4 linked regions of the Stegostoma tigrinum genome follow. The protein of the gene in region 1 purifies or fractionates together with the protein of each later gene. This does not show direct contact. Links are inferred from orthologs where the notes say so. Each region holds a gene or a part of one and is shown in the gene's direction. Other genes may lie near its edges.

Region 1 (7,303 bases):
TAACTTGTCTATCTCCTCTCCACCTATCTTCTCCTCTATCCATTGGGATCCGCCTCCCCCCCTCTCCCTATTTATTTCAGAACCCTCTTCCCCTCCCCCATTTCTGAAGAACGGTCTAGGCCCGAAACGTCAGCATTCCTGCTCCTAAGATGCTGTTTGGCCTGCTGTGTTCATCCAGCTCCACACCTGGTAATCTCGGATTCTCCAGCATCTGCAGTTCCTATTATCTCTATTACATCTGCTGGTTTTGTATGCTTAGATGGTAGAGGTCACAGGTTTGGAAAATGCTGTTCAAGGAATCTTAGTGAGTTGTTGTAGTCCATCTTGTGGATAGGAAACAAAAGTTTAAGGTGGTAGATGGATGTCAAACAAGTGGGTTCCTTCATCCTGGATTTTGCTGAGTTTCTTGATTTTGTTGAAGCCTTACTTGGAATTCCACAGCACACATTATTTGTAGACGGTGGGCAGGTTTAAGGAATCAAGGTGTGAGTTACTTGCTCCCAGCTGTCTCATCTACTCTTGATCCAGCTAATTTTATAGTGAATGGTAATGCCTTGAATCTGGAAAGTGACAGTTTAGCAACAATAATGCCATTTAATGTAAAGGGGGGAGATGTTTGTTATTAGATTTTAGGAGCATAAATAGGCCATTCAGTCCATTAGTTTGCTCTGCCATTTTGAGATCACGACTGATCTGATAATACTCAATCATGCTTTACTGCCTTTTTTCCATTATCCTCAATTCCTTTACTGATTAAAAATCTGCCTATCTCAGCCTTGTTGATCCAGCCTTTACAGCCCTTTGCAGGAAAGAATTCCAAATTCACTATCCTCTGAGAAGAAACTCCTCATGTGTCTTAAATGGGTAACCACTTAGTCTGAGATTATATACTCTCTGATCCTAGACTCTCCCTCAAGAGAAACAACTTTTCCATAACTATCCTCCAGGTCCCCTAAGTGACTTGCATGTTTCAATTAGGTTGCCTCTTATACTTTTAAAATCCAAGGAGTTCAATCTCTCCTCAACACATTTCCCCTGAGTTCAATTTTGTGGTCAATCTAATGCCACACTTGCTACCTGATGTCAAGGATGGACATACCATTCTTGACTTTAGTATGAAGGTCTCTGCATGGCTGTCTAGCCAGGATATGCTTGTGCTGTTTGTAATGTATTGATTAATGTCAGGTGGTCCATTTGTTTATATTCTTATTCAACTTTTCAACTGGGTATGGTTTGCTTACTAAGCCATTTGAAATGTCAGTTAAGAGTTAACCACATCGCTGAGATGTGGAGTGATACCTACCAGAGCAGACAGTCAGCATATTTCTTCCCTGAAAGATACTAGTGAATCAAGTGAGTTTGTTTGTATGACAATCCAGTATCTTCATGATCATCATGACTCAGACAAGCATTTTATTGTCGACTTATTAAATAAATTTAAGTTCCTTTGTGATATAATTTCAAATTATGTCACCAGAGTATTCATCTGACCTCTGGATTACTTTTCTCGCAACATTATCACATGTTGTCATTTCAATTCATTACTGCAATTCCACCACAAATTCAGTGGCCACAGCCTGCATCACACATTTGCTTCTAAGCAGTCCTAGTCCCCAAAGAACAAAAGCAAAATGAAAACGAAAAGCATCAGAGGAACTCAGCCGAACATGAGACCATAAGACATAGGAGCAGAATTAGGCCATTCAGTTAACTGAGTCTACTCTGCCATTTGATCATGGCTGATATGCAACAGAGTAGGATTCCTCAGCCAAGCTCATCTGCTCTATCCGTTTCTTTTCTTTTTTCCTCTCCCTGTTTTTTTCTTTCTGGCCTCCTGTCCTCGGGCAGCATTGGCAGCGTCCAGGGCGAAAGCCAGTGTAAACTCTCAGTCCTATGGTGGCATCGACTCTGGCCCCAGGGTGGACATGAAGTCCTGGCCTCAGTGTGGGATTGAACTCCTAGCTTTGAGGTGAAGCCCGGTGTGATCTGAGTTGGAAGACCTGTTGTTCTGAACTCTTGTTTCCCTGTTTTTCTGGTTAATTGTTGGACTTTTAATTTCTTTGTTTTTCAGAATTTTTTTCCCTAAGGAATTTGTACTTGAGAATCTGTACCTAGGTACCTAAGTTGGTGCTGTAATTGGTGAGTTGTAAACTCTTCACTGTACTCATGTGAGTATGTGACAATAAAGCTAATTCTAAATTTCTCAACCCCATTCTCCTTTCTTCTTCCTGTACCCCTTGCTCCCCTAATTAGTCAAGAACCTATCTACTTCTGTCTCAAATACACTCAATGGCTTGGCCTCCACAACCTTCTGTAGCAATGAGTTCCAAGGACTAACCACTCTGGCAGAAGAAATTCCTCCTCGACATTCTGAGGCTTTGCCCCCCAGGTCCTATTCTCTCCTACTAATGGAAACAGCTTCTCCATGTTCACTCTATCCAGGCCTCTCAGACACAGTAAATTTCAGTGCGATCATCTTCTACACTCCTTCTAGTACAGACCCAGAGTCCCCAACCATCCTCATAGGATATGCCCTTATCCCCGGATTATTCCTGCAAACCCCCTCTGGATCTCCTCCAATGCAAGCACATCCTTCCATATGGGGGTCAAGGCTGCTCACAATATTCCAAATACAATTTGACCACAGCCTTTCACAACCTCAGCAATACGCTCTGTTCTTGTATTTGAGCCCTCTTGAAATTAAAGCTAACATTGCATAGCCTTCTTAACTGCCAACCAAATATGCAAAGTAACTTCAAGAGACATCTGAACTAGGACGAAGTCCCCTTGTACTTAAGATGTCCAAAGCCTTTCCCCATTTAGAAAATAGTTTACACATTAATTCTTCAAATCAGATACCTGTGGAGAAAGAAACAAAGAATTAATATTTTGAGTCTTATAACTCTTCTTTGGAACTGAACAAAAGCACAATACTGTGGATGCTAGAAATCTGAGATTAAAAATAGAAAAGACTGGAAACATTCAGCAAGTCAGGCAACATCTATGGAGAGAGAAACAGTGTCAATATTTCAGGTTTTTCACTTCAAAACTTTTACCTAATGGAGAGTCATTGACTTGAAATGTTATCACTCTTTCTGTCTACAGATACTTAATGACCACCTGAGATTTTCCAGCAATATCCTCATTTCATCAGCAAAAAAAATCCTGTGTATATGAAAAGTGCTGAAAATCCAAGTCTTTCTTTTTGTAATTAATCACCATATTCCATAGAAAGAGAATATAATTGCTTAAACTGAGACTGAATTATATTCAATATGTTTTGAAGGAACAATATCAGACTGGAAACATTAACTCTGTTTCTCTGCTACAGATAGTGCCAGATCTGCTGAGTTTCTTTCCACGTGTCTGTTTCAGATTTCCAGCGTACACAGTATTTTATCTGTACTCATGGTATCCTTGGGCTCACTCTGTCACCGTCTCCACAATCTCGCACTCGGTCATGGCACCCAAAGGACATGTGCTTCCAGTCTGGACACTGACTTTGCCGAAACGTCAGCTTTTCTGCTCCGAAGATGCTGCTTGGCCTGCTGTGTTCATCCAGCTCTACACTTTGTTATACTGGCTTTACCCTGACAAGTCTGTTATGAAGAAAAGATCACCTCATAAACTTCTGGAGAATCTCTTCCCACTTACAGTCTCGTCTCATGAGTTCTCCTGGAGACGCTTTCCGAGTGGTTCGTCACCATGGCAACAACCGCCCGCTAACAGACCGGCCACGTGCTCATCACCCCCAGAATGGTTGGCGACCCCAACAAATCTGCGCCTGCGCACTCCGAGGGGGTATGAATGACGTCAGGATTGCGACGTGACGGTACGGCGCAGGACGTGCGAAAGGGACGGGGTAATGGAACTGGAGCGAAAGTACGGGGACGCGCCCTAGCGCGCCGTTATTCTGTCTCCGGCGCACGCATATGGCGGATGATGTACTCGCGCGCGGTTTGTGACGCACGCGCGTGTGCGCGCAACCGGAGCGCAGGCTTCCCGTGGTGCAGCGCGCGGCCTCTCAGTTAGACTCGGTGGAGAGTGAGTGTTAGCTTCGTTTCGCTCTGAGCTGTTCTCTGTTCGGTGGCGGCTGCTGCTGCGGCGGTGTTAGTGCCGGTTCCCTTCAGGCAGCTGACGGACAGCCGGGAGAAAGTGAGGCGCACACTGGACGCACGGAGCCACCCGAGAGCGCTGCGGCGGAATATGACGGTTCCGAGCGGCCCTGCTGCAGCCGCCGCCGCCGCTCTTCGCAGCCACTTCCTCAGACTCTGCGCTTCTTGTTAGCGGGGCTTCCATCCCCGTCCCTCTCTCCCTCTTCCCTCCCCATCTCCTCTTGCCCCCTTCCTTCTCCCCTCCAAACCCCCACCTCGTCCCCTCCACTGCTGCGCCGCCGCCGCCACACTGCCGCCAAATGACACCCACCCCGCAGCAGATCAAGGACCAGCTGCTCCAGGCCATAGACAAGGATGCCAATGTAAGAACCAGGCCGAATGCCTGCACGCAAGCCCCTGGTTCGGGCCTGTGACGGCCTGGGGTTGGTCTGTGTGAGAAAGCGTGTGTGCATAGAAGAGAGTGAACGCGGCCTAACGGGACAGGCTTCGAACCCAGGCCCGCGATGAGTGAGTGAGGAGAGGATTGGAGTGAAGTGGTTGTGGGTAATGGGTAGAGAGCCTGGGCTGTATTACGGCTTGTTCAAGGCTTGGGGGAATTAACCTCCCAGCGTGGAGCAGCAGCAGGATTCCTCTAAACCGTTTCAACTCCCAGCTTCCACGGGGTTTTACAACACACTCTGGGTGCATCTAGCATATCACAGTTACACTCAATGATTCGTCCCAGCATGTATAAAGCGTTTAAGCATCTGCTAATGCTTGTGGTCATCCAAATTGTTGGGAAGTTACTCCTATTTAAAATGGTGACCAACTGTTGTACTCTTTACTGCCTTTTTTAAAGTTAACTGTACATAGTCCTTATGAGATGACATTGTACACATTGCCTGAAATGGGAAGTTTATTTGGTATATATCTATTTATTAATCAATAAATCATTTGATTAAATTGGAGATATAAAATTAAACTTTTGCTTCTGCAACTCTTACCCCTACCCTAAAACAAAGAAAGCTGGGAGTTGGAATGAAGTCATACTGTGGCTAATGTTTCAGCGGGAGGGCATTGAATTCAGTATTTTCACGTTGAAGTGGTTGCTTCAGTGTCAGGGAAGTACATACGGGAGAGCAGATAAAATAGGCAAACAGGAAGTGGCTACTGGAATGATGGGTAACTTGGAGCTCCCGACTAACATTAGCACAGAGTAAATGTAATGGGAATGTACTGAATTTTAGGATAATTCTAATTTAACTTGTAAAAATTTGCTGGAATTTTTCACATGAATCTTCTGAGCTTCCACAAATCAAGATTTATTTTGTGTGGTGAAGTTACAACTAAATAGTAGAGGAATTCTGCTGCTGTATATTTGACAAATGTGATTGTTTCACTATTTCCAAAGTTGTTAGTGCAAATGAAGGTTATACTCTACTCGTTGATAATCTGTGCAGACTTGTGATAACTGAATAATAGGTTTAAACCAGAAAACTGGTTCAACGCATGTGTTTGTGTCACTAAGCTCTTATGAGACAATCTGAATTTCGGAACATTTGCAAAGTGTTGTTATAGTGTTCAGTTCCAAAATCAAATTTCTTGCTGCTCATGATATAGAATAAAGTGAAACTTGTGCATCTCTTTATGAAGCGGTAAAATTTGCAGTTTATCTCTGAGACTCAGATTTGCTGAGGAAGATTTCTTTCATATGGTGAATTGGATCTGCTAATTAGTGTTGGTCCAGTTCTGCAGTTTTGCATCTAAGTATAGTTTACAGCTATGCATAGTTTATTTGATTCCAGAGAATGTTGAGGAAAATTTTACAATCTTAGAAACTTGCAATATGTCCATGCCTGCATTCATACTCTGAAAAAGCAGTTGAGATTCCTTTTTCTGATGAAGGGTCTAGGCCTGAAACGTCAGCTTTTGTGCTCCTAAGATGCTGCTTGGCCTGCTGTGTTCATCCAGCTCCATGCTTTGTTCTCTGAGATTCCTTCTCCTTTGCTTTTTGACTGTGCCACTGAGTTCCTTGATGTCAGTACCTGTTCACCTCCCTTTCAAAGCTATTAATAAAATCAATTTCCATCATCTTGAGTAAATGATCCAGATTTTGATACACTCAGCTTTTCTCCAACAATTTTGAATATGTCAAGTCTAGATATTGACTCACTAGAGCAAATGTTTTCCCCTTTCACGTAACCTGCCATGTATCTATTAGGAAACATTGAAATCTCTGTTCAAAGGAGAGAGAAGGATCTCATCCGTGGTAACACCCTGGTAAATTTCCTCTGTGCCCTTTCTCGTGTCTTTGTATCTTTGCTGAAATGTGATGCCCAGAATTGACTGCAATGAGGCCTTAACCTTTGATTTATAATGTTCTGCCATAATCTCTTTGCTTTTCTATTTGGTTCCTTTGTTTATAAACTCAAATAATCCATGTGCTTTAACTACATGATTAATTTGCTATGCCGTCTTTAAGATGAACATCAGGGTATCTTTACTCTTGTACACTTTTCTAAAATTGTGCCGTTGTGTGCTTGATTTGTTAGTTGCCCACAATCTTCACTTCAGTTGAGTTTGATCTGTTGTGCTCCAACCCATTTCACCATTCTGTACCAACCTGAAGGCTATAAAACTGTGTTTATCATTGACTACTTTACCTTGGCTTTCATATTATCTATAAGCTTTAAAAATCTATCATTTATAAAAATTGTGAAGCATGGTTCATGAGTAATTGATTGTTTTTGCAAACCACTCTAAATGCCCTCCAAGTGTGAAAAATGTTTTTGCTGCCACCACCTATTGTTTTCTTTCATTGAGCTTATTTTTGTATCCATGCCAACATTCTCCCTTTATTTTTATGGAGTTCCAGCTTCTGAATAAGGCACTTTTTGTCCCAAACGTCCATGTTTGCAGTGGCTGCTTCATTACTTTGATCAACATTCTTCAATCTTATCAAAGAATTCAACTAACTTGGTCAGACGTAATTTGCCTTTATCAGTCTATTCTGGCTGTTTGAGATTAACTCAAATTTCTACAAATAAAGTTTTAGTCCCCTAGATTCCAGTGTCTTTCCCAATGCTGATTCTGTGGACTATGTAGTTTATTGGTTTATCCTCCCTGATTTTTCAGTATTAGTATAATATCAGCAGTTTTGCAGTCCTCTGGCACTGATCTTCAATCTAGTGAAGATTGATCACAATATG
Region 2 (7,837 bases), on another chromosome or scaffold:
AGGCGTAGAGCTGGATGAACACAGCAGGCCAAGCAGCATCTTAGGAGCAGGAAAGCTGACATTTTGTGTCTAGACCCTTCATCAGAAATGGGGGAAGGGGAGAGGGTTCTGAAATAAATAGGGAGAGAGGGGAAGGCGGATCGAAGATGGATAGAGGAAAAGATAGATGGAGAGGAGACAGACAAGTTAAAGAGGCAGGGATGGAGCCAGTAAAGCTGAGCGTAGGTGGAGAGGAAGGGAGGAGACAGGTCAGTCTAGGGAGTACTGACTGGTCAAGTGGGCAGGAAATGGGGGTGCGGCTTGAGCTAGGAGGGGGGATAGGTGAGAGGCAACAGATTAGGGAGGGGGGGATGCAGGGGGGGGGGGGGGGGGGGGAAAGAGAGAGATTTTGAAGCTGGCGAAATCCACATTGATACCATTGGGCTGCAGGGTGCCCAAGTGGAATATGAGTTGCTGTTCCTGCAACCTTCGGGTGGCATCGTTGTGGCACTGCAGGAGGCTCAGGATGGACATGTCATCTGAGGAATGGGAGGGGGAGATGAAATGGTTCGCAACTGGGAGGTGCAGTTGTTTAACGCGAATCAAACGTAGGTGTGCTGCAAAGCAGTCCTCAAGCCTCTGCTTGGTTTCCCCCGATATACAGGAGGCCACAACAGGTACAGCAGGTGCAGAGTCTCAAACTGCTGCCAGGAAGAGGAAGAGTAAGATGTATACTACATTGGCAGATGTGCAGGTGAACATCTGCTTGATGTGGAAAATCTTCTTGGGGCCTCTGATGGGGGTGAGGGAGGTGGTGTGGAGGCAAGAGTAGCACTTCCTGCTGTTGCAGGGAAAAGTGCCAGGTGTGGTGGGGCTGGAGGGGAGTGTGGAGCAGACAAGGGAGTCACGGAGGCAATGGTCCCTCCGGAAAGCAGACAAGGGTGGGGAGGGGAAAATGTCTTTGGTGGTGCGGTTGGATTGCAGATGGCGTAAGTGTTGGAGGATGACGCGTTGGATCCAGAGGTTGGTGGGATGGTACGTGAGGATGAGGGGGGATTCTTTTTTGGTTGTTATTGCGCGGACGGGGTGTGAGGGATGAATTGCAGGATTTCCAGCTCATTGCATCCCCGCCTCCCTAACCTGTTCTTCCTCTCACCTATTCCCTCCTCCCACCTCAAGCCACACCCCCCTTTCCTACTTACTAACCTCATCCTGCCCCCTTGACCTATCCGTCCTCCCTGGACTGACCTATCTCCTCACCTACACTCAGCTTTACTGGCTCCATCCCTGCCTGTTTAACTTGTCTGTCTCCTCTCCATCTTCAATCCGCCTCCCCCTCCCTCCCTATTTATTTCAGAACCCTCCTCCATTTCTGATGAAGGGTCTAGACACAAAATGTCAGCTTTCCTGCTCCTAAATTGCTGCTTCGCCTGTGTTTATCCAGCTCTACACCTTGTTATCTCTGAAAGTAATGCCTTTGGTCTTTTCAATATTTAACATTTCTGCTAATTCAATATTGGATGTCAGATTAGCATCAATGAAATCAAGACTGGAGTTGTCAGTGTACATCTCCGTCCCCTGCTTTGGGGAAGTGTTGGGTGAATTTAAATACAGGTTTTTCAACAACCTTCCCTCAAACTACATTACAGAAACATTTTATTGTTTGCAGAGCCTTGTATTGCTTCTCTATTTCAAGTCTCTAGTCTAGAGGTTATGAAATAAAGTTGAGGTTGTGGAAAGTCTTAAATGACGAGTTCTTTCTTTCAACCACGGCCTGTTAACACCTCCCATATGCAGCGTGAACGCAGTAAGTATGATTTAATATAAACAGGCTTTCAGTAAGCCATGAAGGTAAACTTCTCAAAAGTCCAACTTACACTTGAAATCAAACGACGTTTGGCTGATCCACGTCTTCACACATTTGTTGAGAACGGAGATTTGTCATTAACACTGCGTACGTTTTAATATCTACCAGTAATTCGACTTCAGGCATTCATCTAGACCCGCCATCAATCCTATCTGCTGACGATACGAAAATAGCAGGAAACGCAGAACTGGTGACAACACATTAGAGGGAGGGAATCTCAAAGAAAAGGAGACTTTTCCCGGTGCTCAGAGAGGGCGCTATTTGTGGCTGTAAAATGAGACAGCAAGAGCTCAGCACTGCGGTATCGATTGATGGGAGTAGGCGACCGGCCTTTGTACAATGGCACCCATGTATTGTACATAAATTTAAAAAAAGGCGAGTACAAGGGGGCAGGTATTCCCCAACCTGGGGAAAGAACTTGCCAAAGTACTGGGAGAAAACTGAATTAAGTATTTTAAAAGTGGCCAACTCGCGGACGTCGATCGGACAATTCCTGTTCAGTGTAGAGAATCCAGTTTGAATTTACACTAGTCATGCTGAACTATGAGGCAACCACAACAGGCGCCGCATGGGGGGGGAAAAAACTAGGCGTCTGTAATTTCGCTCCTCCTGCTGTCCTTGCGATCAGCAGCATATTTAACTCTGGGAGGGTCGGTTGCTACCCACCGACTGGAAAAGGCGCAAACATGTAGTTTCTGCAACAGGGGGATGGGGAAAGGCTGTGTGTTAGATAACCCAAACACGTGATGTGCCCGCCAAAAAATACAGACCCCTTTCCCCATACATTCACCGAGCAAGGTTTGAGAGATGAAGTTGTTGAGCAGTAATGTTTAATACCTTGGTCACCAACGTTCCCAGTTTGGAATGCTGCTCATATAAAGGTAGCGTTTCCTCAAACTCAGTCACACCTAACTTCCACCTAGTTTTTTTTAGAAAGCGAGAAGGACGGACAACTCCGCTCAGTGCAAGATATACAAAAAAGTCTTCAATCATTTTGGAGAGCGTGTTGACAGATTTCGACCCCATGCCCACCAAGAAAAATGATCCAAGAAAACCTCCTTTCATCCAACACAAAACATGGAGGAACAAATTCACCGACTTGCCCATGTTCCTCTCACCAGAGGATTTATTAAATAATTTATGAATAATTTATTTATTAAATCATTTGTGAATTAAGTAATTTATTGAGTACACGTGGAGTGCATTCAGCCTGACTGTACCCCCCTCCCCGGAAATCACGGTGCACATTTAAAAAGGACAGACCCCTTTGAAAGGAATGGGCACGTTTTCCCTGACCGCCAGAGGGGGGAGAGTTAGAGAGAGAGAGAAGGTACGGCCCTGAACAAATGAGACCACGACTCAAATTCAGGAACAAGCGTGAGAGCAGCCAATCCAGCACCCCCAAATTCCGTCAGAAACTGCGGCTGGCCACCTGTTACTAGGTTGGCCAGACTTCTAACTGAAAACACACGCACTCAAACCATCCCCCAACACATACACACACAAAGTGCAGCTTGGCAGAAAATGGCAGCAGCGGGGCAGCAAAGAGGGCGAAGAGTGAGATGGGGCCACGCCCAGCGCCCGCCGTTCGAAATAAATCAGGCAGGAATCGGGGGGCGGGGAGAGATCCCGCATCCCGTTCAACCTAAGGGTTCCCACACACACATCCACCTACTCACCAACACACCTACACCCCACAACCAGTCAATAAATACAGATATTGCAACACCCTCACCACTCTCCACACCTTCACACACCCCAGCCCCTCATACATCCCCAACAGACCCACCCCATATACACACATTAACCTGGCCTCTTAAATCCTGCCCCCACTCCAATACAGGCTTTTGAATAAGGAATTGATAAAATAATCGTTTAATTTTGAAGGAGGGAACAATCCAGGATTCCCTGCCTTAACACTGATTCCTTTCCCTGGTTTTTTTTGGGGGGGGGGGGGGGTGGAGAGAGAGAGAGAGAGAGAGATTGATTGAGATTTGTGGCGTATCTCCTTAAACACGGTGCTTCCCCAACCCCCCCTGGCCGCCAACACACCCACACAACCCAAGGCCAGAGAGAACATAGAACATAGAGAGCGCGTTTAAGTGTCCCCGGTCTGAGTTGGTGCGTTTCTCCCCCCACCATTTTGCTGTTAGCTGATATTATTGTTTTAATGATATATGTATTTTACCTTGGAATGGTCCGGAGGTCTCCCGATCCCGTGCACAGATCCTGCTGCCGAGAGAACCACACCTCCAACAGCTTCTCGGTCCCTTCGAAAAAGTGTGCACCGTTTTCCATCGTGAAACAAACGAGAGGGGAAAGAAAAATTCGCCCCCTCCTCCTCCCTCTTTTCCCTTCTACAAATTCTATTTTCTCTTTTAAAAAACCTCCCCCCCCTTTTTCCCCCTCTCTCTGGTAAAAAGCTTAATAAGTTAGTGTCAATTGCTCTGTTTTAGTGGGTTCTTGAGCGGTCCGGTTTCTGCTTTGCTTCCCTATTTTTTCAAGAAAAAGATTTTTTTGTTTGTTTTTTTTATACATATATATATATAATGTTTCGTAGTTGCCCCCAATGCGATCCCTCTACACAGAGAATTGCATCCAGCGAGCGCTAGCTAATGTCGCCGGCCATACTGTGACTAGCAGCGAGACGTCCGCCGGCGCCGGCTTTTATAACCTCCGCCTCCCTCCTTTGCTCACCACCCCCATCCGCTCCAACCCAATCACTTGACTTCTCCAAACTGTCTGCTGCACCGCCCTCTCTACCGACGGCACAATAGAACTGCTGTGACGTCAACGGCCTGGCTGGAGCTGCCCCTGCCCGTTCCCTCCACTACCGTCACCATCACCAGTCGAACGTTCGGCGCGAGACCTTGCGCCCGGGCAAAACCGTTAGTGGAGCCGCGCGCAGATCGACGTTCCAATTCAACTATAAAAGTTGCACGTTTGGAAGGGGCGGGGGGAAGGAAACGAGAAGACATTGCAAATAAATTGCCCCAAACCTCTTTAACGCTCGATAAAAGCCATCGCACGATTTCATCTCACCCTCGTTTTTTCGGGCCGATTCCTAACGCGATTGGTTCGTTTCGCAGTCAGTCACGTTTATCGCAGTGCCGTATCGCAAGAAGGCGGGAATGTAACAGATACATTTTAGTTTTTCCGAACAAAAAGGGATGTTGAAGGTTTATTCCGATGTGTATTTGAATATCTTATCGCTGTTTATTGATTTCAGTGTCCCGGTGCTTCTTCACCCTTTCCCACCCCCACACCCGTCTGCTGCTCTGCTCGGACTAACTGTTTTTACTTTTGGATCCGAAAACGGTTAAAACCGTCCGCAGCAATGAGCGACGGGAGTTGTAGTCTTTGACCCCGGGATGCAGCCGCGCTAGTCAAGGCCCTGCCGAAGCTCTAAGGACTACAAATGCCGGCATGCCTCGCGGTCCGCCATTGTCTGCCGCTAACGTCAACATAACAAACCCATGGTTAAATGTCGCCGGGCGAACTTGTTGGAAGAGACAAAAAAAATACACACGAAATAAGGAAATGATCGGTGCTCAGTTTAAATAATCCAGCCCGTTTCCCTTCCTCCCCCTTCCAACAGACATTGAAAGTATTTATGCATTTATGGAGTGACAGTCATGGATTACGATTTTAAGACGAAACTAGCAGCAGAGCGAGAGAAAGTAGAAGATCTGTTTGAATATGAAGGTTGCAAAGTGGGTCGTGGTACCTACGGTCATGTTTACAAAGCAAAAAGAAAAGATGGGTAAGAAATCAGTACCTTCAGGCGATTTTGTGAGGTGTTGCTGCAGGCGCCCAGTAAGACTTATCAGAGTATGCCTTTTTAAAAGTTTATTTCTGGGTTACTCAGTTCACGTGCTGCAAGACCAATGTTGATGTTTCTGGTTTGTAAATATATCCTCACACCTTGTGTTTACAACTCCTTATTGTAACCCGTTTAATCAAGCCGAGGCCTCCAGCCCTCATAACCATTGTTTTGGAAACTATGTATTTATTGATAGGTTTATTGGTATGATATAAAACAGACTACTTCTTCGGTTTTCTTTTATTCTAGACTTTGTATAGTAATTTTTTCTCGGCTGAACGCCAGCTGTTAAAGCAGTGCTGCCCATAATATAAGACTAAATCACATTTCGGAACTGTCAAATTAAAATGTAGCTTGTCTTCCATGTTTCACAACACTCAGATACTTAGAAGTCCTAAATCTTGACCGTGTTTTTGAATATTAGGTACTGTATTTTGTAACTGTAGTCATAAGTAAGTAATGAACAACGTATTTACTTTTATTCTTTGACCGAACTGTGCGGTTTACTTCCGTGCATAAAATTAGATATGATAACAGCAATTTGCATTGATGTGTCAGTTAATGTCGACTTGGGTTCCAAGGCAGAGTGAAAGTAGAAATGGGGCTGACCATTCGTGAGGAAGTTAGATGAGTTGACATCTGAATTCTGAGGAAGGGTCACCGGACCCGAAACGTTTAAGGGTGCTGCTTGACCTGCTGTGTTCATCCAGCTCTGCACTTTGTTGTCCCGAAACGTTAACTCTGTTTTTCCCTTCACAGTTGCTGCCAGACCTGCTGAGCTTTTTCCAGCAACTTTGTTTTTGAGTTGACTTAGAGTATTGTTCGAAATCTGGGGTTCCTCAAATAATCTGCCGTTAGATCCTTTTAGAGAAAGAGTATAAATCCTTTGTTATGAACTGCATCCCTCTCCATGGCAACAGTTTGATATTAAATCAATCTCTTTGCAATTCTAGTGTTATGTCAGATCCAGTAGTGAGCTGATATCATATTTGTGCCACCTCAAAGACAGCTTGATCCATTTCTAATATCTTTTGACTTAACCCCCTTCTCAGCTGTAATCCTCTTCTATGCTTTCATTACCTATAGACTTGATGATTCCGATGCACTCCTAATATCCCACACTTTGCTCTTCATAAACTTGTGCTCAGGGAGATTTTGTGGTGCAATTGTTAGCCTTCTTGCCTGTAATTCGCAGGCTTTGTGTTCAAGTCAGATGGTAGGACTTGATGGATTTGAAAGATGGGTTCATAACATGGCAAAATGGTTGACTATCAACCTGTAAATCCTTCTGACGCCTTTAGCAGGCAAAAAGTGTAAAAAAGATTCCTGATCAGCCAGAATTGTGTGATATCTGCAACACAACAGCGTCTCCACACTAAAAGACAAGCTCTTGTTTCACTGTGCTAACTGACAAATGACAGGCAATGAGATAAACCTGTGATCATCTAAAGTACTGATTCACATGTCTTCACTGCAGCAGCACTACCCAGAGCAATTCAATTGTTGGTGACTGTAAGCACTAGGGATCCAGGAAGATTAGACAAAGGGAAGAGGTGAGAGTGGGATTCATGATAGCTAGGTTAGTGGGAGCTGAGGCTGTGGGTGTTCATTTTGGAGAGGGTGTCAGTGATATGTCAGCCCCTCCAAAGTCCTGATTAGGGTAAGCTGTGGGTCCCCAACTTGCCATTAGTCCCTGAACTCTTCTTATTAGCCAAAAAATTGCTGTTGAGTGGGTACAGGCCCTGAGTGACCAATAATTAGTCATTGAAGGCCTGCAATGAGTTGATGGTGGGGGAACTGCCCCAGGCTAGGGCTGACACCTATGTAGTTGTGTACAGGACAGGGGAAGTGGCGTGAAGCCAGCTGTGGAATTTGTGGGCCCCACGCTGTGTAGCAATTCTACGACCCCACCCAACACCCCTCCCTATTGTCAGCATGAATTATTGAAAAATTAGAGCCTGTTTTGCTCCACCGATGCTGTGTATCCAGTTTTTCTTTTTGTTTCAAATTTCCAGCATCTGTGGTGTTTTGCTTTTGCTTTTGTAAATAATATTTTGGTACATTCTCAGAAAAATACTTTATAGTGAACATAGCTGTTGAATTCAGGAACACTGAGTACAGTGAAGACAAAAGGCAAATGAAACTGTGACGAGACAAATTGTTTATTG
Region 3 (7,768 bases), on another chromosome or scaffold:
CATGATCTGACTGACTAATAGAACAGATTCACGGAGCCAAGTGGCCTATTCCCACACTTGATTCATGTGTCTCTATGATCATGCACTGACTCTATTCAGTCATTCTGGGGTCAATCACTCCGAGCTCAATCACTCTTGGCTGTTTTCTCCTACAGGTTGAGTTGACGAGCAGAGCTCTTTTCCTTGGGCTGAGGGGAGCTGCAGTGACGGTAAGTGTCAGCTTTTGGGGATTTACCACCAAAGGTACTTGCAGGAGGCAGGCAGGAAGCCGCCCTGAATCTCAGTTGTGGAGAGACTGAGGACCTTAGGCCTCAGCCACGCTGAGGTTACTGGCCCCCAGCAAGGTGGTCCTGGGCCAGGGTGGGTGCTCCTAATCTGGGTGATTCCATCCTCCAGTGTTGGAAAAGGGTAGCATTGATTATACTGGTGCAATTGAAAGCCACTTTTACCATGTGTTGTCTGTAGCTGTGCCTGAAGCATCGCCACTTTCATGCCACTCTGTGCCACTTACCCTGAGATAGCCATAGTCTATGGGAGAGGGCAGGACAGCCAATCCCATGCTCTGTATCCCATGCTGTAACTTCTCCTCAACCCTGCGGGCTCCAGCCCCTCCCCTGGGGTACTGGCCCAGGCTCCTCCCTGCCCTCAGGTTGCGCCTTCCCTTTGGGCCAAGTTCTTCTCCCTACTCCTTACCTTCAGGCCCACACCTTGCTGCTGCTGACGATGGCTCCTTTTTCTCTTTGCAGTTGAAGAACCTGAGTGGCATTGGGCAGCACCAATGAGCAGCGTGCTGGCCATCATGACCAACAATGTGTGGACCTGGCACCATAGAGATCTTGTCTGAGGCAAGGCTGCAGACTGTGTACATGTCTGTGTGGGTGTGTACACCATGTATACATGAGTGAGTGTGTGGGTGTGTAATGAGTGTGTGTTCAAATAAAGAGCAATCAATGAGAAAACAAATGGTCCTGTAGAGTTCTGTGTAGCCTGCTGTCAGATACCATGATGGATGCATGTGGATAGGGAGGAAGTGTATATATTTTCTTTCATTCATTTGTGGGAAGTGTGCATTGCTGGCTGGGTCAGCATTTATTGCCTGTCGCTAATTGCCCTTGAGAAGGTGGTGTGAGCTGCCTTCTCGAACTGCTGCAGTCCACCTTCTCCTCTATCCATCTTCAGTCCGCCTCCCCGTCTCTCCCTATTTATTTCAGAACCCTCTCCCCCTCCCCCATTGCTGATGAAGGGTCTCGGCCCGAAATGTCAGCTTTTGTGCTCCTAAGATGCTGCTTGGCTTGCTGGGTTCATTCAGCTCCACACTTTGTTATCTCGGATTTTCCAGCATCTGCAGTTCCCATTATCTCTGATCACAACATTGACTTTCCTGCTGCTCTGATGCTGCCTGGCCTGCTGTGTTCCTCCAGTCTCACAGCTATGTCCTTCTAAGGCCCAACCAGCTCAATCGGTAGTACTGCTGCGGCACGGTGGCTCAGTGGTTGGCACTGCAGCCTCACAGCACCAGGGACCCGGGTTCGATTCCAGCCTCAGGTAACTGTGCGGGGTTTGCATGTTCTCCCCATGTCTGCGTGGGTTTCCTCCGGGTGCTTCAGTTTCCTCCCACAGTCCAAAGATGTGCAGGCTAGGTGGATTGGCTATGCTAAATTGCTCCTACTGTACAGGGGTGTGTGGGTTATAGGTGGATGGATCTGTGTGGGATGCTCGAAGGGGGAGTGTGGACTTGTTGGGCCAAAGGACCTGTTTCCACACTGTAGGGAATCTAATCGAAACTACTGTTGGTGGTGGACATTGAAATCATCCATCCAGAGTACATTTTGTGCCCTTGCCATCCTCAGTGCTTCTCCCTAGTGTTGTCAAATGAAGGAGTCCCAATTCATCAGCTGAGAGGACTGTATGTGGTAATCAGCAGGAGGTTTCCTTGCCCATGTTTAACCTAAAGCTATGAGATATCATGGAGTCCAGAGTCAATGTTGAGAACTCCCAGAGCAACTCCCTCCTGACTGTATATCACTGTGCCAACACCTGTCCTGGGTTTGTCCTGCTGATGAGACAGGACATATCCAGGGACGGTGATGGTGGTGTCTGGGATACAGGGGGAGGGGTGTACGTCGACACGGGGGAGAGGTGCATATGGATACAGAGGGAGTGTGCTTATGAATATAATGAAGGATGTATTTGTAGAGTTTCGGATGATGATAAGGTTGTCCAAGCAGGATATCAATTATTTAATATTTGAGTTCAAAAATGGCAGTTGGAGTTTAACCTAGACAAGTGTGAGGTAATAAAAGTGTGGATCTGGAGGAACACAGCAGGTCAGGCAGCATCAGAGGAGCAGGAAAGCTGACTTTTTGGATCAGGACCCTTCTTCAGTGTGAGGTGATGCGTTTTGTGATATCAAATGCAAGATGAGAGTGCGCAGTAAATGGCCAGACCCTTAGGAGCATTGATATAGAGAGGGTCTTGGGATCTGAGTTCACAGTCCCTGAAAGTGGCAACAAGAGTGAATGAGGTGATAAATAAGGCATATGGCATGCTTGCCTTCATTCATTGGGGTATTGAGTATAAGAATTGGCAAGTCGTTCAGTCGTACAAAACTTCAGTGAGGTCAAATTTAGAGTAGTGTGCGCTGTTCTGGTTGCTGCACTATAGGAAGGATGTGGAGGCTTTGAAGAGGGTGTATAAAGAGGTTTACTGGGATGTTGCCTGGATTGGAGTGTATTAGCTATAAGGAGAGATTTGGACTGATTTCACGAGAGCATCCAGAGACTGAGAGGTGACTTGATAGAAGTACATAAAAATGAGAGGCAATGATAAGGGTGGTTCGCCAGAGCTTTTCCACAAGGAAATGTCAGATACAAGGGAGCATAAGTTTAAGGTGCCGGGGGTGGGGCGCAAGAGGGTGGTAGGTACCTGGATGACAGGTAAAAATGGATAAGATAATTTTAAAGAGGCATTTAGAGACATGAGATTAGTTCAGAACGACATCATGGTTGAGAAAGACATGGTGGGCCAAGAGGCCTGTTCCTGTGCTGTGCTAGACTGATGTACTACACAAACATAGTGGCTACAAGAGCAAGTCATAATCTAAAAATCCTGCAGCGTGTAATTTGCTTCCGGACTCCCCATTGCAAGGATGCATGTATCATAGAATCCCTACAATGTGGAAACAGGCTATTCAGCCCAACAAGTCCTTCCAAAGGGTATCCCACTCAGACCCATTCCCCTACTCCTGCATTTCCCATGCCTAACCCACCTAACCTAAACATCCTTGGACACTATTAACAATTTAGCACGGTCAATGCACCTGACACATCTTTGGACTGTGGGAGGAAACCCACGCAGACACAGACAGTCGCCTGAGGCTGGAATCAGTCCTGGGACCCTGGCACTGAGTGGCTGCAGTATTAACGACTGAGCCACAGCCCTTAGTGGAAGGGACATTCAAAGATTTCTCTGTATGACAAATCTCCTGAGCCCTAAATATTCAGCCCCTTATTCTGAGACAGTTTCTCCCTGTGTTCCCACCCACCGAAGCCTGGGAAAATATGCTTCCTGCAGCTACTCCACTGAGTTTTGTAAAAATTTAGTTTGCACTAGTGAGGTTATCTCTTAACCTTCAAAACTCTAGAAAACATCAGCCCAAGTCCTCCATAACTCCTTATAGGTTCATGTCACCATCCTGGGGATCCTCTGCTGTAGTCCCTCAACAGCAAGCATATCCTTAGGTAACAGACCAAACTGGACACAAATCTGGTATGGTCTCACCAAGGAGTGGAATGCCTCATCCTAGGAGCAGATGCGGCTGAGGTGGAGGAATTGGAGGGATGGAATTTTTGCAGGAGGGTGGGTAGGAGGAGGTGTATTCTAGGTAGCTGTGGGAGTCGGTGGGCTTGAAATGGACATCAGTTACAAGCTGGTTGCCTGAGATGGAGACAGAGGTCCAGGAAGGTGAGGGATGTGCTGGAGATGGCCCAGGTGAACTGAAGGTTGGGGTGGAAGGTGTTGGTGAAGTGGATGAACTGTTCAAGCTCCCCTGGGGAGCAAGAGGCGGCGCCGATACAGTCATCAATGTAACGGAGGAAAAGGTGGGGTTTGGGGCCTGTGTAGGTGCGGAAGAGGGACTGTTCCACGTAACCGACGATCCCCCTCATTCTCACACACCACCCCACCAACCTCCAGATAGAACGCATCATCCTCCGACACTTCCGCCATCTACAATCCGACCCCACCATCCAAGACATTTTTCCATCCCCACCCCTGTCTGCTTTCCGGAGAGACCACTCTCTCCGTGACTCCCTTGTCCACTCCACACTCCCCTGCAACCGCAGGAAATGCTACACTTGCTCCCACATCTCCTCCCTCACCCCTACCCCAGGCCCCAAGATGTCTTTCCATATTAAGCAGATGTTCATCTGCCAATGTGGTATACCGTATCCACTGTACCCGGTGCGGCTCCCTCTACATTGGGGAAACCAAGCGGAGGCTTGGGGACCGCTTTGCAGAACACCTCCGCTCGTTTCGCAATAAAAAAAAGAACTGCACCTCCCAGTCGCTAACCATTTTAATTCTCCCTCCCATTCCTCAGTCTAGGCCCGAAACGTCAGCTTTTTGGGTTCCTGAGATCCTGCTGTGTTCATCCAGCCCCACACTTTGTTATCTCGGATTACCACTCCACTACAGCCTGCCGGGACGGTGGGTGGAGCGGCTCCGCGGGGCTTGCTGGGATAGTGGAGGAGTGGTAGCCAGGGAGCTTGTCGGGAAAGTGGAGTAATCCTCCGGGGGAGTGCCGTTAGCAGCGCAATGCCGTATGCGAACCAGCCGACGGTGCGGATCACGGAGCTGTCTGACGAAAATGTGAAATTCGTCGTGGAGAACACCGAGCTCTCGTCAGTGCTTTTTGGGGTGGGTGGGTGGGGGGCGGGGGAAGAGAGAAGGGGCTTTGAGGTGGTGCGGAAGGTGACCCTTCAGCCCTTCTATCCCGTGCTGGGGGCCGGGTGCTGATGGCCCAACCCCACCGTACGAGCAGTGAAGGATCTGGCTAACTCGGATCTGCACTACTTTCTGGGGGTCATCATTTCTTTTAAAAACGAAACCACTCCCTCCAGCTGTGCTCTCACCGAGGCCCCACAGCACATTCCCACTTTTATATTCAAACCCCTTGTAACAAATGCCACCATTCAATCGAGTTTCCTCGTACTTGCTGTATTTGTGCGTGCTAACCCATTGTGGGATTCACAACCTGGAAACTAGATGGCGCTATGTACCTCAGTTCTCCGATCTCTCCCTCGACCTTTAAAAGTAAAATGCTGCTTTTCTATTCTTCCCGTCAAAGGGGAGAAAGTTACACTTTTCATGCACTTGACTCCTAAATCTGCCCATTCACTTAACATATCTGCATCCCATTGTAAACTCTCCACTTCTTGACACTTTATTTTCCGGGCCGTCATTGACAAATTTAGCAGCTGTATATTTGACTATCTCATCCAACCTCTTGATTTAAGTTGTGAGTAGTTCAGTGCCCAGAACTGATCCCTGTGGCACTCCAGTTGTTCAGCTTGCTAAGCTGAAAATGCACCATTTATCTCTGCTGTCTATTATTTAACCAATTGTATCAATGCTGATAGAATGTCTCCCTGTCTACTAAGCTGGTACCTTTTGGAAATACAAATTTATTATATTATTAGTTGTTCTCTATTCATTAGGATGTTATTTCATCAAATAGCTCTAAAAGACCAGTTAAATACAATTTCTTTTTTACAAAACAATGTTGACTCCGATCTTTTGCTACCTCCCCACCTATACTGCCCTCTCCATCTATCTTCTCCTCTATCCATCTTATGTCTGCCTCCTCCTCTCTCCCTATTTATTTCAGAATTCTCTCCCCATCCCCCTTTTCTGATGAAGGGTCTAGGCCAAAAATGTCAGCTTTTGTGCTCCTAAGATGCTGCTTGGCCGGCTGTGTTAATCCAGCTCCACGCTTTGTTATCTTTGACTCTGATCACTCGTTTTTTGAAGTATTTTGCTATAGCCTCCTTACGAGTTGATTGAAGCATCTTCCCTGTGGCGGATGTGACACTGAGCAGCTTGTAGTTTCCTGCTTTCTGTTCCCCTGTGTTCTTAAAGGTAGAGGGGTCGGTTAGTTCATTTGGCTGGATGGTTGGATTGAATTGCAGAGTGTGGCCAACAGCATGGGTTCAATTCCTGCACCAGCTGAGGTTGCCATGAAGGACTCCCCTTCTCATCCTGTCTTCTTGCCTGAGCTATGGTGACCCTCAGTTTAAACCACCAGCAGTTGTCTCTCTCTAATGAAACAGTAGTCCTATCGTCGAGTAAGACGATGGTGACTTTAATTGAATAAAGATTTGCTATTTTCAAAACTGCTGTGATCTTTTCCAAAATCCAGGGAATTTTCTAAAATTATAATGAATCCCCCACTATCTTTGTAATTTCTTTTAAGACAGCGCAACATCGAGGGCCGAAGGGCCTGTTCTACGCAGTATTGTTCTATGTTAGATCCTGGGGACCTTCAAACTTTAGGTCAAATAGTTTTCCCAGCAGCTTTTCCCTGGTGATGGTGATTACTTGAAATTCGTCTCTCTGTATCACCTCTTGATTTTCAGTATCTACACGGAACCCAACATAAAATAGTTGGTAAAAATCTCAGTGATTTCTTTAATTTCCATTTTCAATCCTCCAGATTCACTGTCACAAGAGGACTAATACTATAACTTTTATTCTCTGTTTTTGTTCCCATCTAGCTAGATATCACTCATAGTCTGCTTTCTGCCACTCCACTTAATATTTATGTAATTTTTTAAATTCACTGCTGGCTCTTAAATATCTGTCGACACCTCTGACTTATCACTACTCATTAGAGAATTGTACAGTGACAGCACAGTGCGGAGCTGGAGGAACACAACAGGTCAGGCAGCATCAGAGAAGCAGGAAAGTTAACGTTTCGGGTTCCAATCCAAAATGTCGACTTTCCTGCTCCTCTGATGCTGCCTGACCTGCTATGTTCCTCCAGTTCCACACTGCGTCATCTCTAACTCCAGCAACTGAAGTTCTATCTATCTCTGAGAAAATTATACAGTGCTTCTTTCAGTCGAACACTGACCTTAGTTTACCTATTCACCATCAGTTGATTCATCCTTCTCGAGGAGTCTTTGGATCTCACCGGAATAAATTTTTGCTGAGAGTCATTAAATGTGCCTTTAACAGTCTGCCACTGAGTTTCTATTGTCCTACCTCATAAACTAGTCTCAGTTTAGCCAGCTCTGCTTTCTCAGTCAAATGAATCCCTTTATTTACTTTAAAATCCTAGTTTGAGACACCCGAGCCCTGATAGCTTCACATTGAATATGTAATTCTATGACTGCTTATTACCTACAGTCTTCTTTCTCATAAGATTATGTAGTCATAGAGGTCTACATCAAAGAAAAATACCCATTGGCCCATTGAGTCTGCGCTGGTCAAACACAAATACCCAACTATTCTTACAGAGGTAGTAGGAACTGTCTGTGCTGGAGAATCTGAGATAACAAGGTATAGAGCTGGATCTACCTAGAAGGGTCTCGACCTGAAACATCAACTTTCCTGCTCCTCTGATGCTGCTTGGCCTGCTTTGTTCATCCAGCTCTACACCTTGTAACCTAACTATTCTATTCCCATTTTCCAGCATTTTGCCCATAACCTTGCATGCCTCAGCATTACAAGCGCACAACTAAAAACTTCTGAAATGTTATTATGGTTT
Region 4 (7,225 bases), on another chromosome or scaffold:
CATTGTCATCCCAAACATGGAACCTCAAATTACAGTCCTTATTATTTAAAATAATTAGGCAACATTTTAACCGTTCTACTTGTGGCTAGCATCCAGCATCCAAAGCTGTCCAGTTTAATGAGTTCTTGAACAAAGAATCATTACTGGGCTGAAGTTCATTGTGACTCATACAATTTCTTCTGCCTGGTCAACATTACCACCTTCTCCTTCCAAATGTTTCGTGTTATCTGTGGTTTAAAAAAAAATCCATTTATGATAATTCATTGCAGAATGGCATTTGAAAATCACATTTCAACACTGTAGATCATTCCCAGGTATTCCTGGTGTTCATTCTTATGTCATGGTTCCTCGTTCTTGTCATATATTTAATTGTCAAATAGATTTGTATCCTTACTTCTCTTAGTTATGATTTCTCTTTTATATAGACATTTAGTCTCTGTGCAGTCTTGGTCAATTAAGAGTGAGCAATTTGGAATGGACAATAAATGCTGGCCAAGTGAATGATGGGTAGATCCAGTGAAGGAATAAAAATAAATATTATTCAATTTGGGCATCAAATTGCAGCAATAAAGTTAGCAGATGCTTTTGAGACTTTTTAGGGCTGAACGACAAGAACAGAGCATACTTTCACTATATTAATGTTAGCCAAGGTCTCAGAATAAATATTGCAAAACATGTAGCAGAACAGTCTATTATACTGCGACATCTATTGTTCATTGATCAAATTATACTCATATATTGGTGGCCAGGCTAAAGTATTCTATTTTCTTTATTCATTCACGGGATGAGGGCATCGCTGTCTAGGCAGCATTTATTACCCAGCCCTAATTGCCCAGAAGGCATTTACGAGTCAACCACATTGCTGTGGGTCTGGAGTCACATGTAGGCCAGACCAGGTGAGGATGGCAGTTTCTTTCCCTAAAGGACATGAGTGAACCAGATGGGTTTTTCAACAATCAAGAATGGATTCGTGGTCATCATTCAGTTCTTAATTCCAGATTCACGAATAATAGAGATGGTGGGACTGTCTGTTAGCCAATCAGTTGCTTTTGATCGCTTAATTTTATGTCAATTGCTATTGTTGAAGGTTTGATAGGAACCCAAAAATGCGATTATTTAAATTTGCTTCTCCCCATCACCATGAAAAAGAAGAATCCACACTTTGTATATTATTTTGGTAGACTGAATTTCTTGTTCTATAGAACTGCCATCTTGTCTGTCATGAAAATAAAACTTAAGCACCTTTGGTCTGGCTAGGGTGGAAGATGGGCAAATCAGAGATCCTTCTCATGGATGTGGAATAAAGAGTTAATTACACACTGGCTGAAGAATAGCTACTTAGCAGAATTGAAAGCGCAAAACCATAATGATGCCTGATCACATGGAACAGGAGCCTGGGTCCATAGGATTCCAGATGGCCCCAATTCTTGTAAATTGTTACACTTAATAAAGCCTGTTCATGTTCACTCACAAGAGTGTATACAACAACTAGTCTGCTCCTGTGTGTGGCCAATGCGATGATCCAGTGTTATGATTCCAGCTTACAATAATGCTAGAGAAATCAGTTCCCAGAGTGAAGCCTGGCTTGAAAAACCTTATATTTACTATTTTCTTTTTGTTTCACATGGCGGTCAGTCACATGAATTTATTTATGAGGGTCCGCCCAATGGACTTCAAACAACATTTACTGCACAGAATAAAAATAAATAGGAACTATTAGAATGTTGTAATTACAGACATCAGAAAGAAAGATTCATCCTTTTTATCCTGCCAGTACTCTTACAGGCACTTAAATCTCAGTGAAGAATCACTCCAATCTCCACATTAAAGCTTCTTGCTCAGTTGGCATAAGTTCTAATCGTTTTTTTTGGTAAATTTCTGCACATTCATGAAATTTTTCAGTTTCTGTTAGTTTCCACCTTTTTTTCCTATTAATGTTTTTTCTGAGATCCTTAAAAAAGTCTGCTAATTCAGCACACGGTTACTTAACATGGGTTGATTAAACTCATGTGTTGAAATAGGCTTTTAGGATGTTTTCTTCTCTGACACTTCCATAGCTTTATGCTCTGGAGCTAAGTACCTCAGGACTTCTCCCCAACCCCAACTGCTGGGAAACTGTAAACAACAGCATCAATGCTATTACAGGCCTTTTCCTCCTGTACAAAAACACTTATGGCTCCTTTCTCGGTTGGCCATAAAACTCAAAACAACTTTGTAGAATTCTGGTCATTTAGCTGAAATCGCATGGCCTTTTTGTAAATAATGTTTTGAACTGCACAAGTCAGATTTTCATTTAATATCTAATGTTCATTTCCCCTCACTTCAGACTCCAAGTTCTCAAATAACATATTACATTTTCCCTCATAACAAATGGATACTACCTCCCTCTCTCTCTGTGGCTTTCTCCACATGTGGATTATCTTGGGGAAAGACTTTTGCTCATGCGGTCAAGCTGTTGTGTGACCAGTGGGCATCTAGGGGGTGCAGGTCCACAGGAGCGATACAGCTCAAAATCTTGTCATTTAAGTTAAATTTCCTTTGACTTTTTAAAAATAAAGTCAGAGTATTAACAGCAAGGAAAGAGACCCTTTGACCTATCATGTCCACCTGGTCATCAAATATCCATCTACCGTAATTCCATTTTCCAGCACTTGGCCCACAGTCATATACTATGGCATTTCAAGTGCTCATTAAAATAGTTCTTTAATACTTGATAATTCCTTCCTTTTCCACACTTTCAGGCAGGATGTCCCAGATATCCATCACTCTACGGATGAAACAAAAGCTTTCTTCAAATCTCCTAAAAAGCTCTTGCTCCAAACTTTAAATCTCTGCCCTTTGGTTATCGTCACATCTACTAAGGGGAACTATTTCTCCCTATCTACTCTATCTCTGCCCTTGGAATCTTGTATATCTTAAACATATCTGCTCTCAGCCTTCCTTGTTCCAAGGAAAACAACTCCAGACTGTCTAGTTTTTCTTCACAGTTGAATCACTCCAGCCAAGAAACATCCTGATGAATCTACTCTACATCTTCTCTAATAATCACACTTTTCCTATGGTGTTGCAACCAGAACTCCACACAGTACTCCAGCTGTGGCCTAACTAACATAATGTACAGCTCCATCACAATCTCCTTCCTCTTGTATTCAACACCCTGACCAATGAAGGTACGTAACCTACACACATTCTTAACCACCTTTATTTACCTGTCCTGCTGCTTTCAAGGGTATATGGACAAGCATACCAAAGTTCCTGGTTGTCTACTTGCTAGGATCTACCATTGAATATGTATTCCCTTCTCTTGTTAGTCTTCCCAAAATGCAACACTTCATACTCTTTAAGATTAAATTCCTTTGCCACTGTTCAGCTGATGTGACCAGCCCAACCATATTATCCTGTAGTCTAAGGTTTTCCTTCCAAGTATTTTCACCACCAATTTTCAGGTCATCTGCAAACTTACTGATTCTACCTTCTACTGTACATTCAAGGCTAGATCATTATGGTGCACAACCAACGCCAAGGAACCCAGCACCTAATGGACACATGCTTCCAGTCAAAAGACTTCGCCCCTCACAGCGCTGCTGGCCACGAAGTTCGTTTTGAATCTAAAACAAAAACAAAATTGCTGGAGAGGCTCAGCAGGTCTGGCAGCATGTGTGAAGGAAAAAACGGAGTTAACGTTTCGGGTCTGGTGACCTTCCTCATAACGGATCCAATTCATTTTGGATCTAATTTGTCACATTCACGTGGATCCCACGGGCATATTTTTGGTTTCATTCGACGCGAATGTGGCTCAGCATTTATTTATGTGCCATGAAATCTGAAGTAACCAAATGCCTATTGGAATTACTTCGGCATATTATCATGTTCCTAACATCCCGGGGACGCTAGACAATCCATTCCGAACATGCTCGTACACAGGACCTTGCATCACACTTCACGCGTGCGAGCACCCATGCACGAGATATGCTAGGCAACGGCATACAATGAGTGGCGGCGTGCATTTTCTTCACGACAATTTACGGCAATGCCGTAGGTGGGATTGATGTGTGATACCGGCGTTGTGTAGAGGTAGCGAGCGGTGAGGGGGTGATCGCAGCGACGGCTCGTGCAACCATCCCACGTCAACAGGCCAACCAGCGGCTTATATGGTGCCTCCGAGTGTCACCCAGCGATATCGTGAACCCGCAAGAGAGGCGGTCGGCTTCAGTTAGACAATACAACTATTAAAACAAAATAGATTGGAAAGCTTCGAAAATGGACTATGATTTCAAGATGAAGCTGACGACAGAGAGGGAACGAGTGGAGGACCTGTTTGAATATGAAGGCTGTAAAGTTGGAAGAGGCACTTATGGTCATGTATACAAAGCCAAACGGAAAGACGGGTAGGTAAAGGTTTCAAGAGCATGTAGGCCACGCTGGTCATTCTTGATGCAGGTTCTTGCTTGGATTTTAATTGGCGAAGGAGCGAAGCTGAGTTCTTTCTGCCAATAACTTTGTCGTGCGCAACCTGTTTTTGAAGTAAAGTATGTTGCTTGTCTGGTGCAGCTTTTCGAGTCTTTGCGGTTAAATACGTGCAAAAGCACTTGAGTGAAACCAACTTTACTGTATTTTTATAGAGTAATATTTGATTATTGCCTTTGTTAGGGATGGTGTCAAGTAAACCATTTGGTCGTGAAACCTTTGAACTTGTATGCATCCTTCATAATTACTATTTCTCATTTCAATTAACTTTTAAACTAATGAGTCTGGATAGAGCTGGAAATATTAATGGACCTACTTTAAATTGTTTTCTTGATTATTGTTGGATTGACATCTTCATTGAATTGTTTGCGACCTTTAAAATACATTCGTGGCAAAGTTACACATGGTGATATATTTCATAAGTTTATTGATATTCAAATGATATGTAATGACGAGTACTTTAAAAAGCTCTTCCAAATCTTAAGTAATGCATGTAAATGCCACACTCTTTCCCTTCCCCCCCCCCCCCCCCCCAGCAGGATTTCCAGTGGCATTTAGATTGGTTTCAAATGCTAACTCTGAAATTAATTCTGACCTTGGCATTTACCTGTTGGAGGTTTTTTTTTTAAAACGAGCTGTTGTTTATAAGAGTGGGAATAGAATTCATGTTGTAGAATTTGACTTTACACAAAATGTGAGTTTTATTTTTGTAATTTTTTTGGGGTGATGTTGCTGTGTTTGACAAACACTAGTTAGGGTCAGTAGCTGCTTTTAGTTTTCATTCCTCCTGTGGATGATTTTCTTTGTCAGCACTAACGATTGCACCCTCCTGGTTTGTTATGACTGTCTTACAGTTGTGGAGAAGAATAAGGCAAGATTTGGACATTCACATAGATTTATAGTTGGAGTCATTATCATACCATTAAGGAAGAAAAACTCAGCTGATTTTAGCCTTTCTATTTGGGATATTGGTATACTGTTGCACCTCGTAGTACAGTAAAGATATGCAAATTCAACATAGAATGAGGGTTGACCTGAGACCTTCTCACCTCCCCAGTTGAGAAATACACCACAGATGCACTTATCGTAGTGAGGGAGCTTCAGAATCTTTTTTAAACATTTAAAATAAATTCTCACTGTACCTGGAATAACCCTACTTTTTTCTGTAATTACAGCTATTATTGTGACAAAATTGAAATCAGTCAAATTGATAAGTTATCTTCTTTCCTCATTGCTTTAATGTAAGTGGGAATCAACATTGTGGATTATTCATTTTTAGAATAGAAAAGCAAAATTTTTTAAAAAAGCATGAAACATACAAGTGTACATGTTCAGAGGTACTGGGTATACTCGTACAAAGAATACAGAATTTTAGCTTGCAGGAACAGCAAACGTTTAGGAAGGCAGATGGCATGTTGTTCTTTATGGCAAGGAGTTTGAGAATAAAAATGAGGAAGTCTTATTCCACTTGTATGTGGTTTTGGTGAAACCACACCTAGAACATAGTGAATTGATGTCTGTATTGTGTTGGAGGCAGAATTGTAAGGGTTCATTAGATTGGTCTCTACAATGAGAGATTGTCCTATGATGTGAGGCTGAGTAAATTGGACCTACATACTTTGGAGTTGAGGCAAATGAAAGATGATCGCTTTGAAATGTACAAAGCTCTTGTTGTTAAGAACTGAGGTGAGAAGAAGTTTCTTGTGACTCTTAAAATTTTCCACTCAAAATGTGCAACCTGCAAGGTTGAATATGTTTTATGGCTGAGATGGACAGACTGTATGCCTCAGAAATGAGGGATATAGGAGTTAGTCAGCAGGAAAATGGAGTTGAAACCCCAGGTTAGCTGTGAATAGCCGGGTAAGCTCTAGTCTATTCCATCTGTATCTTTTGCTGTTATAAGCTGCAATGAAAGAAAAATAAGATGCATTCAACAAGATCTGCTTTAACTCTTACACCATGAATGTCTTTAAGATTGTGCACCTATATTTTGAAGTTAGAGCATTGTTTGTAATCTAAAATAATTTAATCTTGGCAAACGGTAGCTGGGTAACAAATAATTCTGGTATATCCGTCTAATTTCTTTATGATCCTATTTGCTAAACCCTCCTAAACATTTGAAAACAATTTCGTGCCATCCTGCAATGTCAGTTTTCAGCATTTTGATCTTTTATAGTTTATGAAAAGACAGCTCATTTAATTTTTCCTAATCTTCAAGCCAACGCCAAATGTTTCACAGTCTGCAGTTGTCCTTGCTTGTGGATAAGGTCATAAGGTTAAGAATATATTGTTTGTTATGTGAGATGTTTACAGATTTACATACTGTTGCTTTAAAGCCCGTTTGTTTCTGGTGAAACAATTTCACGTGATCAGACAGTTGTGGGTTCAAGCACCATTCCAGAACTTGGGTATGCAATCTAGACTGTCTCTCAGTGCATGATTGAGGGAGTTATTCAAGATGCAATTTCAAATGGTGAATTAAACTGATACTCAAATGCCTGCTTAAGTGGCCATTTAAAAATTTCATAACCCTTGTTTTTGGAAAAAGAAATTGTTAAAGTGTCTTAATTTTGTACCCAGTCATTATAGTGCCATGAGTCATTGGAACCCATATACCTGTATCATTATTTACCCTTTGCTGAGTGAACAAAGATCCTTGTTCCTGTTGAATATATATTGCACATTTTCCACTGCTTTTATATTTTTGCTATAAACGGATGCCTGTCTGCCATCAGTACTCCTAGGTAAGTTTTTTAAA

The links.
Region 2: the proteins of crsp7 (region 1) and cdk19 purify together in Homo sapiens (affinity purification with mass spectrometry; 4 studies listed by BioGRID and IntAct, with this or other methods). This does not show direct contact. The link is inferred for Stegostoma tigrinum from reciprocal best matches to the Homo sapiens genes MED26 and CDK19.
Region 3: the proteins of crsp7 (region 1) and polr2c purify together in Homo sapiens (affinity purification with mass spectrometry; 3 studies listed by BioGRID and IntAct, with this or other methods). This does not show direct contact. The link is inferred for Stegostoma tigrinum from reciprocal best matches to the Homo sapiens genes MED26 and POLR2C.
Region 4: the proteins of crsp7 (region 1) and cdk8 purify together in Homo sapiens (affinity purification with mass spectrometry; 5 studies listed by BioGRID and IntAct, with this or other methods). This does not show direct contact. The link is inferred for Stegostoma tigrinum from reciprocal best matches to the Homo sapiens genes MED26 and CDK8.

The regions. Positions count from the first base shown.
Region 1 is NC_081383.1:43,779,358-43,786,660, reverse strand, and holds the start of crsp7 (mediator of RNA polymerase II transcription subunit 26), read left to right. Parts: upstream 1-4,000; 5' UTR 4,001-4,414; coding exon 4,415-4,477; intron 4,478-7,303. UniProt on the Homo sapiens protein: Component of the Mediator complex, a coactivator involved in the regulated transcription of nearly all RNA polymerase II-dependent genes.
Region 2 is NC_081357.1:24,441,859-24,449,695, forward strand, and holds the start of cdk19 (cyclin-dependent kinase 19), read left to right. Parts: upstream 1-4,661; 5' UTR 4,662-5,481; coding exon 5,482-5,609; intron 5,610-7,837. Other genes in the region: amd1 (S-adenosylmethionine decarboxylase proenzyme), read right to left, coding at 4,035-4,144.
Region 3 is NW_026728366.1:52,518-60,285, reverse strand, and holds the start of polr2c (DNA-directed RNA polymerase II subunit RPB3), read left to right. Parts: upstream 1-4,742; 5' UTR 4,743-4,815; coding exon 4,816-4,901; exon of another isoform or gene 4,902-4,917; intron 4,918-7,768. UniProt on the Homo sapiens protein: Core component of RNA polymerase II (Pol II), a DNA-dependent RNA polymerase which synthesizes mRNA precursors and many functional non-coding RNAs using the four ribonucleoside triphosphates as substrates.
Region 4 is NC_081359.1:77,361,923-77,369,147, forward strand, and holds the start of cdk8 (cyclin-dependent kinase 8), read left to right. Parts: upstream 1-4,040; 5' UTR 4,041-4,260; coding exon 4,261-4,388; intron 4,389-7,225.